3 linked regions of the Drosophila melanogaster genome follow. The protein of the gene in region 3 purifies or fractionates together with the protein of the main gene of each other region. This does not show direct contact. Each region holds a gene or a part of one and is shown on either strand. Other genes may lie near its edges.

Evidence for each region.
Region 1: the proteins of 14-3-3zeta (region 3) and yki purify together in Drosophila melanogaster (affinity purification with western blotting; 5 studies listed by BioGRID, with this or other methods). This does not show direct contact.
Region 2: the proteins of 14-3-3zeta (region 3) and gwl purify together in Drosophila melanogaster (affinity purification with western blotting, with the first as the bait; one study listed by BioGRID). This does not show direct contact.

Annotation. Positions count from the first base shown.
Region 1 is NT_033778.4:24,066,666-24,070,418, forward strand, and holds the start of yki (yorkie), read right to left. Parts: upstream 1,821-3,753; 5' UTR 1,651-1,820; coding exon 800-1,650; intron 590-799; coding exon 498-589; intron 52-497; coding exon 1-51. Other genes in the region: Gpat4 (Glycerol-3-phosphate acyltransferase 4), read left to right, coding at 2,535-2,669, 3,074-3,277, 3,335-3,577. UniProt on the Drosophila melanogaster protein: Transcriptional coactivator which is the critical downstream regulatory target in the Hippo/SWH (Sav/Wts/Hpo) signaling pathway that plays a pivotal role in organ size control and tumor suppression by restricting proliferation and promoting apoptosis.
Region 2 is NT_033777.3:18,744,587-18,748,339, forward strand, and holds the start of gwl (greatwall), read left to right. Parts: upstream 1-1,783; 5' UTR 1,784-1,985; coding exon 1,986-2,135; intron 2,136-2,650; coding exon 2,651-3,484; intron 3,485-3,544; coding exon 3,545-3,703; intron 3,704-3,753. Other genes in the region: PGS1 (phosphatidylglycerophosphate synthase 1), read right to left, coding at 1-84, 143-1,207.
Region 3 is NT_033778.4:10,098,002-10,101,754, reverse strand, and holds the start of 14-3-3zeta (14-3-3zeta), read right to left. Parts: upstream 2,079-3,753; 5' UTR 2,017-2,078; exon of another isoform or gene 1,905-2,016; intron 720-1,904; exon of another isoform or gene 578-719; intron 1-577. Other genes in the region: RpLP0-like (ribosomal protein LP0-like), read left to right, coding at 2,269-2,296, 2,362-2,609, 2,670-3,164; Jra (Jun-related antigen), read right to left, coding at 3,619-3,753. UniProt on the Drosophila melanogaster protein: Required in Raf-dependent cell proliferation and photoreceptor differentiation during eye development. Acts upstream of Raf and downstream of Ras, and is essential for viability.

The sequences.
Region 1 (3,753 bases), about 14 Mb from region 3:
AATTGTTAGCAATGGTCGATGTGGTAGTTTGTTTTGTAGTTTGCAAAACATCTATCGAACAAAAACAATGAATTACAAACCAAAGTAAATAAAAACAAATTAAAATATGTCTTCAACGTAATGCTGCAGTGTGTAAGCGGATGAGAACGGAGGGGCACTGGCGCCCAGCATGCAGCACATATCAAAATCAATTGGAGTATGCTCAAAGCAAATCCAATCGAGCTCCCACTTCCGAATGCCAAAATGATCAGACTCCAACCCAATCCCGAAAAGTGCATTGGCGCGCTCAAAATGGACGGAATGGACTCCCTGAAATCGGTTGTGTACTGTGCTGTTCATGCGTTAGTTGGAATGAGTTAGAGCCTATCTTATCCCTGCCTGGTCTCTAGCATTAATTAGTCCTCTGATGGCTGATTTAAGTGGGTTAACAATGAGACGCAGCCACAGGCAGTTAACGACTTGCTTATCTAAGGCATTACATCTAAGATAGAACCTACCATTCTGCTTTATTCGCTCGGCCATCAAGATTTGCTGCTGCTGGCGATATTGGATTCTGGGATCCTCCCACTGCGTAGATTTTGTAGTATGACTGCAAGTAGAGAGAACACCATTGTTGAGATTGCTGTTTTGGGTATTAGTTGAGCTAGTAATGATTAAGAGATAAACTTGAAAGACATCCAACGAAGCCAATGAGATTTCTGTGACTCACAAGAATATTTTAGTTTTCATAAGTTCATAAAGAAGACACGTATTAAATAAAGCTTCATGCATATCATTTTTAAAATCTGCCCAAACTCACTTCAAGTAGTAGATCTGGCCATCATTGGTCTTGGCTTGCTCCCATCCCGGCGGCAAGGCGCCTAGTTGGCGGTTCAACTGAATGGGGCTGATGACGTCGTAGGAGCGCTGCTTCTTGTGCACTGTCTGCATGGACATGGGAATGTCCTGCGACATGCAGGTGTTCATGGCGTCCAGATCAATGGCCGAGCTGGCCGGGGCGCCGCTGGGGAACTCTTGGGCACTGTTCTCTGGGAAAGTGGGCCCAGCGGGCTGCTGTTGGCTGCTCGGATTGGCATTCGGATTGTTGGCTGCTGCTGCGTCGCTCCGGGCGCGCACATTGTAGTTCTGCTGCAGCGAGGCGGGGCTGCTGCGGGCTCGGGAGTGATGTATCGCCAGGCGGCTGTGCTGGGGAGACGGCTGAATCTGGAGCTGGGGGATGGCGGCGATGGGCGACTGGCCATCTGGCTGCTGGACGATGGACGCCTTGTTCCCGATGTTGATGCTCGACTGGGAGCCCGCGTCGTAGGTGGAGTCGGCGCTGTTGGCCCGCGAGTGCGAGGGCGCCGGGGGCGTGAAGAAGGAGTTGGGCAGCTTCCGCATGCGCAGGGGCAGCTGCAGCGGGCGCTTGGCGTCACCCGGATTCAGGACGCTGTCGAATAGCGCCTGCAGGTTGTCGTCCGTGTCCTGGTTGACCCGCACCACCAGGTTGTTGGACTTGATCGGCGAAAGCATGTCCTCGTCGTCGATCTCCTTCTCGATCAGGCTGTTTGTATTGCTGCTGGCTGACATCGTCGTTAACATATAAAAGGCACTTATTGTATACAAACGAAAACTACATAGAATTATCTTAGCGATTAGGCACGCGCACATATATGTTCTTCCATATACGTATCACTCCATCGCGCTGCGCGAAACTATAACATTAAGGTGTTAAAAACTAAACTTCGTTGCAATAAATAATAGTAATAATAATAATTACGGAACTGCCAACATAAAATAAATTTATCCCAGTGTTGCCAGATGGCTATCCCCGTCCACTTGTCCATTCCGATACTAGCGTTCCTCATGTAATCGGCTTCGTGGCTGCACCTGCGGAATGCCAGGGGTATTCCGCAAGCCGATTACGACTTTTGTCGATTTCCTTTAGCTATAGCTAAAGATTTATTCTATATTTTGTAATTAATAAGGCACAAAACAAAGTAGATATTAAATTATGGTGTGTGTATAGCCCACACACTTGTGTTCCATAATATCAGACTATAAATTATTAGACTAACAATTATTATTTATTGGTTTATAACATTTTGTTTAGTGAAAATAAGTACAGGCAAAGGTCTGTCAAAAACACACCCAATAACAATATAAACTGATTGTAAATGTGCCTTGTTGATTTAAGTAATAAGTGCAGGTAAAGGTCTGTCAAAAACACATACCCAATAACAATATAATCTGAATGTAAATGTGCCTTTTTGTTTTCAGTGCACGTTCATTCAACCCTTTTCAAAACGATTGGCAGTGGAACAAGAAGCCGTTCCGTCTCCTGCCCGACCGGAATCGTCCCCTTTCCGTTTGTTCCCCGTAGAGATGAGCGCGGGCCAGGTCTGTGAGCACGAGACAGGTTTTTGACACAGTCAAGGTCCATCGCTAGTTCGGTCTACAGCAAAAAGTATTTTAACATTGTATATATTGGCACGACACAATTCGGAGGCATTTTTCGCTTAACAATAACTAATGTCGCATGACACAAATGTAAAATGATCGCCGTGCTGTTGGACATATTCTGGATCCCCATCGGGGGCTTCCTCTCATTTCTCATATTTATTTCCGCCATAAACAAATCAATCGGCGTCCGAAAAGCGTACGTGAACCTCCTCCTAAGGATATTCGAGGTAAATATTGCTTGCTTTCGTTCCTCAGATGAGTAAGCACCGATTTGAGGTGCTCCACTGCTGCGGTGGCTTTGCAAATGGTGCTGTCTTACCAATAGTTAAGCTATTCCAAAGTCCATAAATATAGTCAGCTTTTGGAGTACGCCATACTACGTCTGCCCTACGCAATTACTGCAATGCAGGCGAGTTCGAGAAACTATTGCTTGCCCGGAAGCTTTAAGTAGATTCTTCGGCTATCCTCAAGGAATCTGCGGGGCAGGAGTGCGCCAGTGCACCCAAGTTGCCGCTTCCCAGACACTTGTAAAGTGCCAGTCATTACCTCGTCCGACGATATGCTTGCGATAATCTTATCTGCAGATAATCCCCGATTCGACTCGTTAACAACTAATCACCTCTACTTTCAGTATGGTCGAGTTAGTATAGAGACAGCATCCAAAGAAAACCAACACATTCAAAATCCCAAGACTGACGACAAACAGGGAGTGCAACTAGTGGACGACGCCGATTCCAAAGAAGGCACCAATGGAGCCACATTGATTACCAGGGACGCGGTACTCCTGCCCCAGCCACAGGAGCCCGCTCCAGAGAAGCCAGTTTCCTCCACAAAGGTAAGGAGTCCGGCATTGCAATGGGCACCTGATTTAAACAACATTTCCCATTTGCAGGATGAAATCAATTTCGATTTTGAGAAATGCCTGGACTACGTAAAGTCTGGCGTGGAGGCCATCATCGAGGACGATGTTACGTCGCGCTTCGAGGCGGAGGAGCTCAAGAGCTGGAACATGCTGACACGCACCAATAGGCACTACGAGTTCATTTCCTGGAAAATCACCTCCATCTGGGTGTTCGGCTTCTTCATCCGCTACGTCATCCTGATGCCCCTCCGGGTATTGGTATGCTTCGTTGGTGTGAGTACATTCGGTTCATTTAGTGGCTTTTCCACAACTACCCGATCGTCCCGATTCCCATGCATGCTACAAATTATCCCAAAGGATACGCTTAAGTAATGTATTCCGCTTTAGACTGGAGAACAGCATCATGCATAGGGATTGGGCTGTCGAGTAGTTATCTTACAGTGTGAAAG
Region 2 (3,753 bases), on a different chromosome or scaffold from region 3:
GCTCTCGTAGAAACTCTTGGCTATCAGTGTGTAGGCAGCCGGAATTCCGCCCGCTGGTCCTTTGGCACCCTGAAAGCCGTTTGCCTGGAAAATGAATTAAATCGGGTTACTATTGGTCAACTAATTACTGATAGCCACTCACATTTGGATGAGCCATCAGTATGCTGCATTGGGCCAGGCACTTGTGCGTGAGCGTGTCCATGTACTCCTGCGTCAGGTTGAAGTACCCGGTGGCCAGTTTCAGCCGTGATCCAGACAAGCAGTTGGAGAGCAGCCGCTTGGTCACCACGCTGTCGTGATGAATGCCGATCTGGCCCATCTCAAGCAGCGGAAAAATCCATGTGTCTGCCTGCGGATTCTGCTCTTTAGTTCGCGCCTGCCGCTGAAACGTCTCCTGCACTAAATCGGAAATACGTTTACGGGCAAGCTGGATAAACTGCTCCTTGGTGCCCTCGTACGGCAGTATTCGCCAGTTGCGGTGCAGTCCCTCGCTGGCATCTGGCGCCACTGCCAAACTAAACTCTTGAACGCGTTCGATGAACTGCGCATAGAAATCCGCCAACGGTTTGTCCTCAATGAGTATGTATCGATCCTGCCGGTTGGTGAAGTAGTCATTGGACAGATTGGCGCCTGATATGATCACGGCATCGTCGAACAGGTAGACCTTCATGTGCTGTAGTCCGAGAAGCTCATTCCACCGTGGCGGTGCTAGTCGCTTTGTCATCCCGCGCAGATCAGGCGTATGGTACAGGGATAGCTGCACCTGGCTCGCAAAGTCGCGGACCAGGGGTAGCAACATGGTCTTGGAGTTGAGGGTTCCCCGCGTGCCGCGTGTAAAGTCCAACAGCACGTTGAGCCTCAGGGCAGACTGTTGCTCCAGGCTGTGACGCAACGTCTGAACCATTGCGTTCTCCAGTTGCCCAGTGCCCAGGTACAAACTGGCCAGCACTATACGGCGTTTGGCCTGACCGATTCGTTGCACCAGCGTTTCGTAGAAGTGCTTTGGCTCGTGGATGACCTGAATTTGATCGCCTCGCAGCGGGAAGCACGGCGCTAGGTTGTGTAACCAACTTAGGCTCTCCAGTGCGGGTGCTCCAGGGAATCCGGTGGCCAGGACACTGGGCGCCTGCTGCAAGCAGCCCAGAAAATCGCCCTGAGCAGCCGGAGAGAGCTCCTGGCTGAAAAGGCGGCGAAGGTATGGCATCATCTTGGCGGGGATTTCTCTGACGGATTGGCAAGCGGATCCTCACTCTGGGCGGCTGCTATTTGATGACAGGGTATGGCGCATTGCTCACTGTCTGTTTGGCTGTATCCGGAACACACTTTCATTCATGGAGTGCTGTTTTATCACAAAAAAAACTTCGAATTTCAGCACGTAAATAAATTCCAGGTGGAACGCAAGTGTTGCAAAGCGAGCTGGGATTCGATAACAATTTATAGCTATCGGGAATTATCGACTGTTCATAATGGTGATGGTGATATGGTGATCCTGCTATGTGTTTCTTAAAAAAAAATAATATTTAAATCAAATTAATAAAAGCCTAACCATTTATCAATAGTTACTAACTGTTACATTTTTAACATTTTTGTGTATATCTACTTTTATATATATGCATAAAGAAATATTTGAATAAATTTACTTGAAATATTCAACCGGTATCTTACTAATATGCATTTCTTTTTGGTAATATTTAATTTTAGTTTAAAAAATCGTTTAATTTTAAACTGCAATAACATCGATGTTGTCAAATTTCTAGAAACATCGATAATACTAAGAATCGAATTAGTTTCACCTCTAGTTCAGGTCATAGAAAATAGACGCGCTGTTTTAAATGTGTGTTTGAAATAAAAATTGTGCAATAAACAAGCTAATAGCATTCAGGTCTATATCGAATTCTATACATTGTATATCTCTGTACGATAATTGTATATATTGTGCGAAACCGCGAGAAAATCGCACTCTGACCGTCGGAAACCTGGAAGATATGGAAAACGCCGATGCGACTTCGCAATCGGATGTCCACATCGACTACAAAACCCCCAAGAAGACCCACTCGCTGATCGACAGTGAGCAGTTGCTGGACAAGATCAACATCCTTACCACCAAGCCGGAGAATCACTCCCAGAATGCCAAGGTACGCGGAGGAATCGCAAACTGGCGATTACCACACGTGGGTGGTTTACAGTTAGCCACGGTTGCTAATCAAGAAAATTTGAAATGCCTCTAAACACAGTGTTTATGTAAATTGATTAAAAAAGGGCAGTACATGTTCAAGAATTAATGAAAAGGTTATGTTTATGTATTATAGGAAAAACGAAAAACATATGTACGTTCAAATGTGATGTTATATAGGATTTCCATTTCAAAAACATTTTTACAGTTCTATTTATCTTCTGTTTTTTTTACATAGCTCCTTTCTTCATTTCCTTTTACTGGCTATTGATGTACATATATCTTCTTTTATCCAATTATATATATACACATATGCTTTTTTAAGATTTTTTATTTTTTATATCTAGAACTGAAGTTTTTCTATGTCTAACTTTAGCTATATTATTTTCCTTTGTTCTGCCTTGGGCTATAAGAATTACCACCACCACTTAGGTCACTTTATTATATAGTAATGGATACATTCGCTTTCTTATACAGCTTCCCACTATCAAGGATTTTGTCATCATTAAGCCAATCAGCCGCGGCGCCTTTGGAAAAGTCTTCCTGGGCTACAAGAACAACGACTCGAAGCGGCTGTTCGCCATCAAGGTGATGCGCAAGTCAGAGATGATCAACAAGAACATGGTGTCCCAGGTAATCACGGAGCGGAATGCCCTGGCCCTCTCCCGCTCTCAGTTCTGTGTCAGTCTCTTCTACTCCCTGCAATCGCTCTCCTACGTCTACCTGGTGATGGAGTACATGGTGGGCGGGGATCTCAAGTCACTGCTGGCCATGTTTGGGTATTTTGACGAGCCCACGGCCCGGTTCTACGTGGCCGAGATGGTGATGGCGCTGCAGTATCTGCATCAGCACGGAATTGTCCACAGAGATATTAAACCGGACAACATGTTGCTCTCCTCCAGTGGCCATGTGAAGCTTACTGATTTTGGGTTGAGCAAAATCGATATGCGAAGAGATCTGGAAATATCAGACCTTATAAACTGCTCACCGAATTTAAACGCCCGCACGCCGGGCCAGCTTTTGTCGCTTACTTCGCACCTGTCTTTTGGGTCAGAGAAGAAACTGAATGACTTCGGTTCTGTTTCAAGTGGACAAAACAACGGAATGGGCTCGGTGGCCACGGGGACATCCCACTTGCTGCAGGCCATCAACAAGCATAGTCTGATAATGGAGCTGTCGGATAGCGAGGGCGACACCTCGCTCAATGATGCAGAGAAGACGAGCGATAGCAAGATATCTGGTGTTTCCCCCTTCTTTTCTGCCGAGGAGGCCAATGAATCCATTACTCATACCTGCACTACAAACGTAAATGTGGGTAAACATATTGCAATTAAAATGGATTTATTCATCTATCATTCTCCGAATCTTCAGCCCCAGGATAGCAGCTCGTCTTGTTCGTTCCACACTTGTAACTCGGCCGACCTGAGCAAGTGCTCACCACCACTGGAGTCAAAGGACGGTGCTGCTGCGGGCAATGCGATCCCCAGCAAGCGGCGCGTGGAATTCGTCTTGGATGCGGCACCCTGTCAGGTAAGTGGCTGGAAATCGGCCAAACCCGTAATCTCTGTATTTATTTGCAT
Region 3 (3,753 bases):
CTACAAAATTATAAAAATAATCGGGAGAAAGGAGGAGCGAGGTGGGAGGGAGGGAGAGAGCGGAGAACGCCGCAGAGAGAGGCCGAAATGTATCTACCACAGGCGGCCGCCAAGTGTGTTGAGTTTGGCGAGGAAACCCACCTAACCGCGTGTCCCCATCCAAGTATCAACTTGGATATATATATATATATATCTATCTTGGCGTACTGTGTGTACATATAGCTGGCTATATAAGCGTAAATATAGAAGTCGGCTATGTCCGCCGCCTACAACTTAACCGATGAACTGCTGATGATGATGAGAAATACGAAGCTACAAGCGAATCTCACCGCATCACATACATGCACCAATACTCGGGCAACTCGGGAATGTTCTTTTCTTTCATTTTCTTTTCTTTTCCTTATTTTGCACAAATTTACACTTTATTCTTTTGCGTAGATTTTTTTTTTTTGGCTTCGGATCGATGTCTGATTTATGTATTTCGATTTTTCTGCGGGACGAAGTATAGATGCATGTAAGTGATTGCTCATAGGCGGCATTACACGTGTTTTTTCTTCGGATATTTTAGCAATTTTACGTTTTATAATTCCATACACACACTGGCAGGCGCACACACATAGGTACAAGGCACTCTGGGCCAGCAAAAATGTTACTTACATTCTCGATTAACTGAAACTGAAACGACAACGAACACTACCAACGAACGAATGAGAATGACGGACGGCAAAGGTTGCACACATTCGCCGCGCCGCTGTATCTGTGTTTCTGCGCTCTCTCCCCACGCACACTCTAGCAGGGGCACATGCGCCGCCGCAGAATGAGAGGGAGCATATGGGGCTGGCTCAGGCGAGAGCGAGAAAGTGCGACAAGTGAGAGAGTTTCAGGGTTGCCAACCTGCTGTATAAATTAATGTTGCCAGGTGTGCAGGTAAAACTTGGAAACCAAACTTTCAGATAAAATATACTAATTAATAGGCGTCTCAGAACTTGTAGATAGAGAGCTTTAAAATGAGCCAGCTTTTATTGTCAAGTCTTTGTGTTATCATCGTTTTATGAAGTAATAGTTTATAGTTCGTTTCCAACCTGTTGAAACTTTCGAGCGCTTATCTCGCTGCCAGATTACGCTTTTATCTTGACTTTATGGCCTCCGCAAGGAGGAAACTAATCGGGAGATGTATGCCATTGATAAGGGGGTGGCGGTAAATTGCCTTAATTCTAATTTGGATTTCATTGAATTGGTGCACTCACACATAAAAACGAGATATCCACGTACTTATGATTTTCGTGAGGTGAGGCAGGGCCTACGATTGTGGGCCGGAAGTTAAGGCGAGGATTTAACAATCAATTTCTAGTTCTAATTATACTTAGTCCTGTCAATATGGGATAATTCGACAAAATTAGAGTATATTCTTTTGAGTCTTCTTCTATTGTTAATTATACAATAAGAAAATATATTTAATATTCTATGATGTTTTTGTATTACATTAAGCATAATGTTCAAGTCATTAAAAAAAAAAAACGGTAATTAGGTGTACGAGGAATTTTCTAAATAATCGTGTAAGTGTATTGCAATTCAACTCGTGCGTGGCGAAGACATGCTCACGCGCTCATCTCTACATTTTACTACAGCTCACAAAGAACAAGACGGAAAAAATTACGTCATCGGCGTCCTATTTGGTTGCGGTAATGAAAAATTGCTACGTCCATTTCCAATTGTAATGGGATTTTCGCAAGGCCAGTACCGCACGCAATCAAATGCGGAGAGCCCAAGGGGCAGGTGGCATCCAATTAGGAGGCCAACGGAATCGATAAAGTGCGTGGGCGCACTTATTCGGGGAAAATTTTATCCGCCGACAATATGGCGGTCGCAAGCCGACACACGACGCACTAGGTGAAACTACTTACTGCGCCTGGGTTTTCAAGCGAATATCGAATATATGCGTAATCCTTGGGCTCTCAGCACACGACTTTTAACTTAGTTTTAAACGAGCAAGCACTTATTAATTAGTTAATTCACCTCTTACGGCTCGGACGTGAAGGTTCTTCTTCTTCTCTACGCGCAGATGTGTTGGAAAACGAGGAAAGCTGAAGTAGGGATTGGCCCGCAGGAATTTTCCAACCCGCACGGTGCGAAATTCCGATACACGATAGAGCTATCGATTGTTGGTTAGGAACATTTACCATCTCTAGAAGGCCGCACGTGTTTACGTTCGGTGGGAAATATTCTTGGTTTCTGTTAAGAAAACGTTGCTATTTAAAGGCTACAGATATGCCGCGCTCCAAACGTGATAAGAAAGGTGAGAGTTTCGGCTTTAATATATACGATTTGTACTTATAACGTGCGATACTCTTCTTCCCTTAGTTTCCCTGACCAAAACCGACCGCAAGGGTCTGGCTTGGAAACAGCGCATTGTGGACGACATTCGGTTCTGCGTGGGCAAATACCCAAATATATTCGTTTTCCAAGTTCAGAACATGAGGAATAGCTTGCTGAAGGATCTGCGACAGGAGTTGAAAAAGAATTCTCGTTTTATCTTTGGCAAGAATCGTGTTATGCAGATTGGCTTGGGTCGCACGAAGAGCGAGGAAGTGGAGCCGGAATTGCACAAGGTAATTAAGTTTAAGTGGATTAACATATATCAGACACTAATCACAGGCTATGTCTATTAGCTATCCAAGCGATTAACTGGCCAGGTGGGACTGCTTTTCACGGACAAATCCAAGGAGGAAGTCCTGGAGTGGGCAGAAAACTACTGGGCCGTGGAATACGCACGCAGTGGCTTTGTGGCCACGGAAACGGTTACCCTGCCAGCAGGTCCCCTAGAGGACTTCGCCCACTCTATGGAACCGCATCTGCGTTCCCTGGGCCTGCCCACCAAATTGGAGAAGGGAATCGTTACGCTGTACAGTGACTACACGGTTTGTGAGGAGGGCAAAGTTCTAACACCCGAACAGGCGAGAATCCTCAAGCTGGTGGGCAAGCCCATGGCCAAATTTCGGCTGACCATGAAGTGCTCGTGGACAAAAAGCGAAGGCTTCCAGCTGCATGTCGAGGATGATGTGAACGACGAGGAACAGGCTGATAGCGCAATGGAAGAGGAGGCCGAGGCCGAGGCCATGGATGACAACGACGACGATGATGACGAAGAGGAGGATGATGAATAAATAAGTTTAAGGCGTAGAAATAATTTTTTTATGTATATATCAAGTGCAGAAAATATACGTATATTTTAAAAGTACATTACATATTATCTTACGTTCAACACAGATAATACTTGATTAACACTAGCTTATACTAATAACTAAGTAAACAAAACACTTAAGAAGCATTTCAGATATTGCAGCTAAAACCAAAGAAAGGCACAAAGCCTCAGGTTGCGTCGTCCGCGAGGATGTAGAGCACCAGAGGCTGTTCGTTATCGCTCTCCTCCTCCAGGAGTTCGCTGTTAGTTAGGGAAATATCCTGAGAGGCCGAGCCCTCCAGCTCCAAGGCACCGGTGCTAGCACTTGAAAAGAATTCCAGAGGCATGGGTTGCTCGGGATCTTCAGGATTCGAGGGGGTTTCAGTCTCCAGTGCCACGTCCTCCTCATCATTCTCCCCGGCTGACAACTCCAAATGTTATTGGTCTGTCGAGTTCGGCGGCACCGTGCAGCCCGCGGCAATGTGCTCCATCACCTGCTGCTTCAGCTGCGCCACATGGTCCTTGAGGTTCTTCACGATGCTAGCCAGGTCGACGTTCTCGCCCTTAAGTAC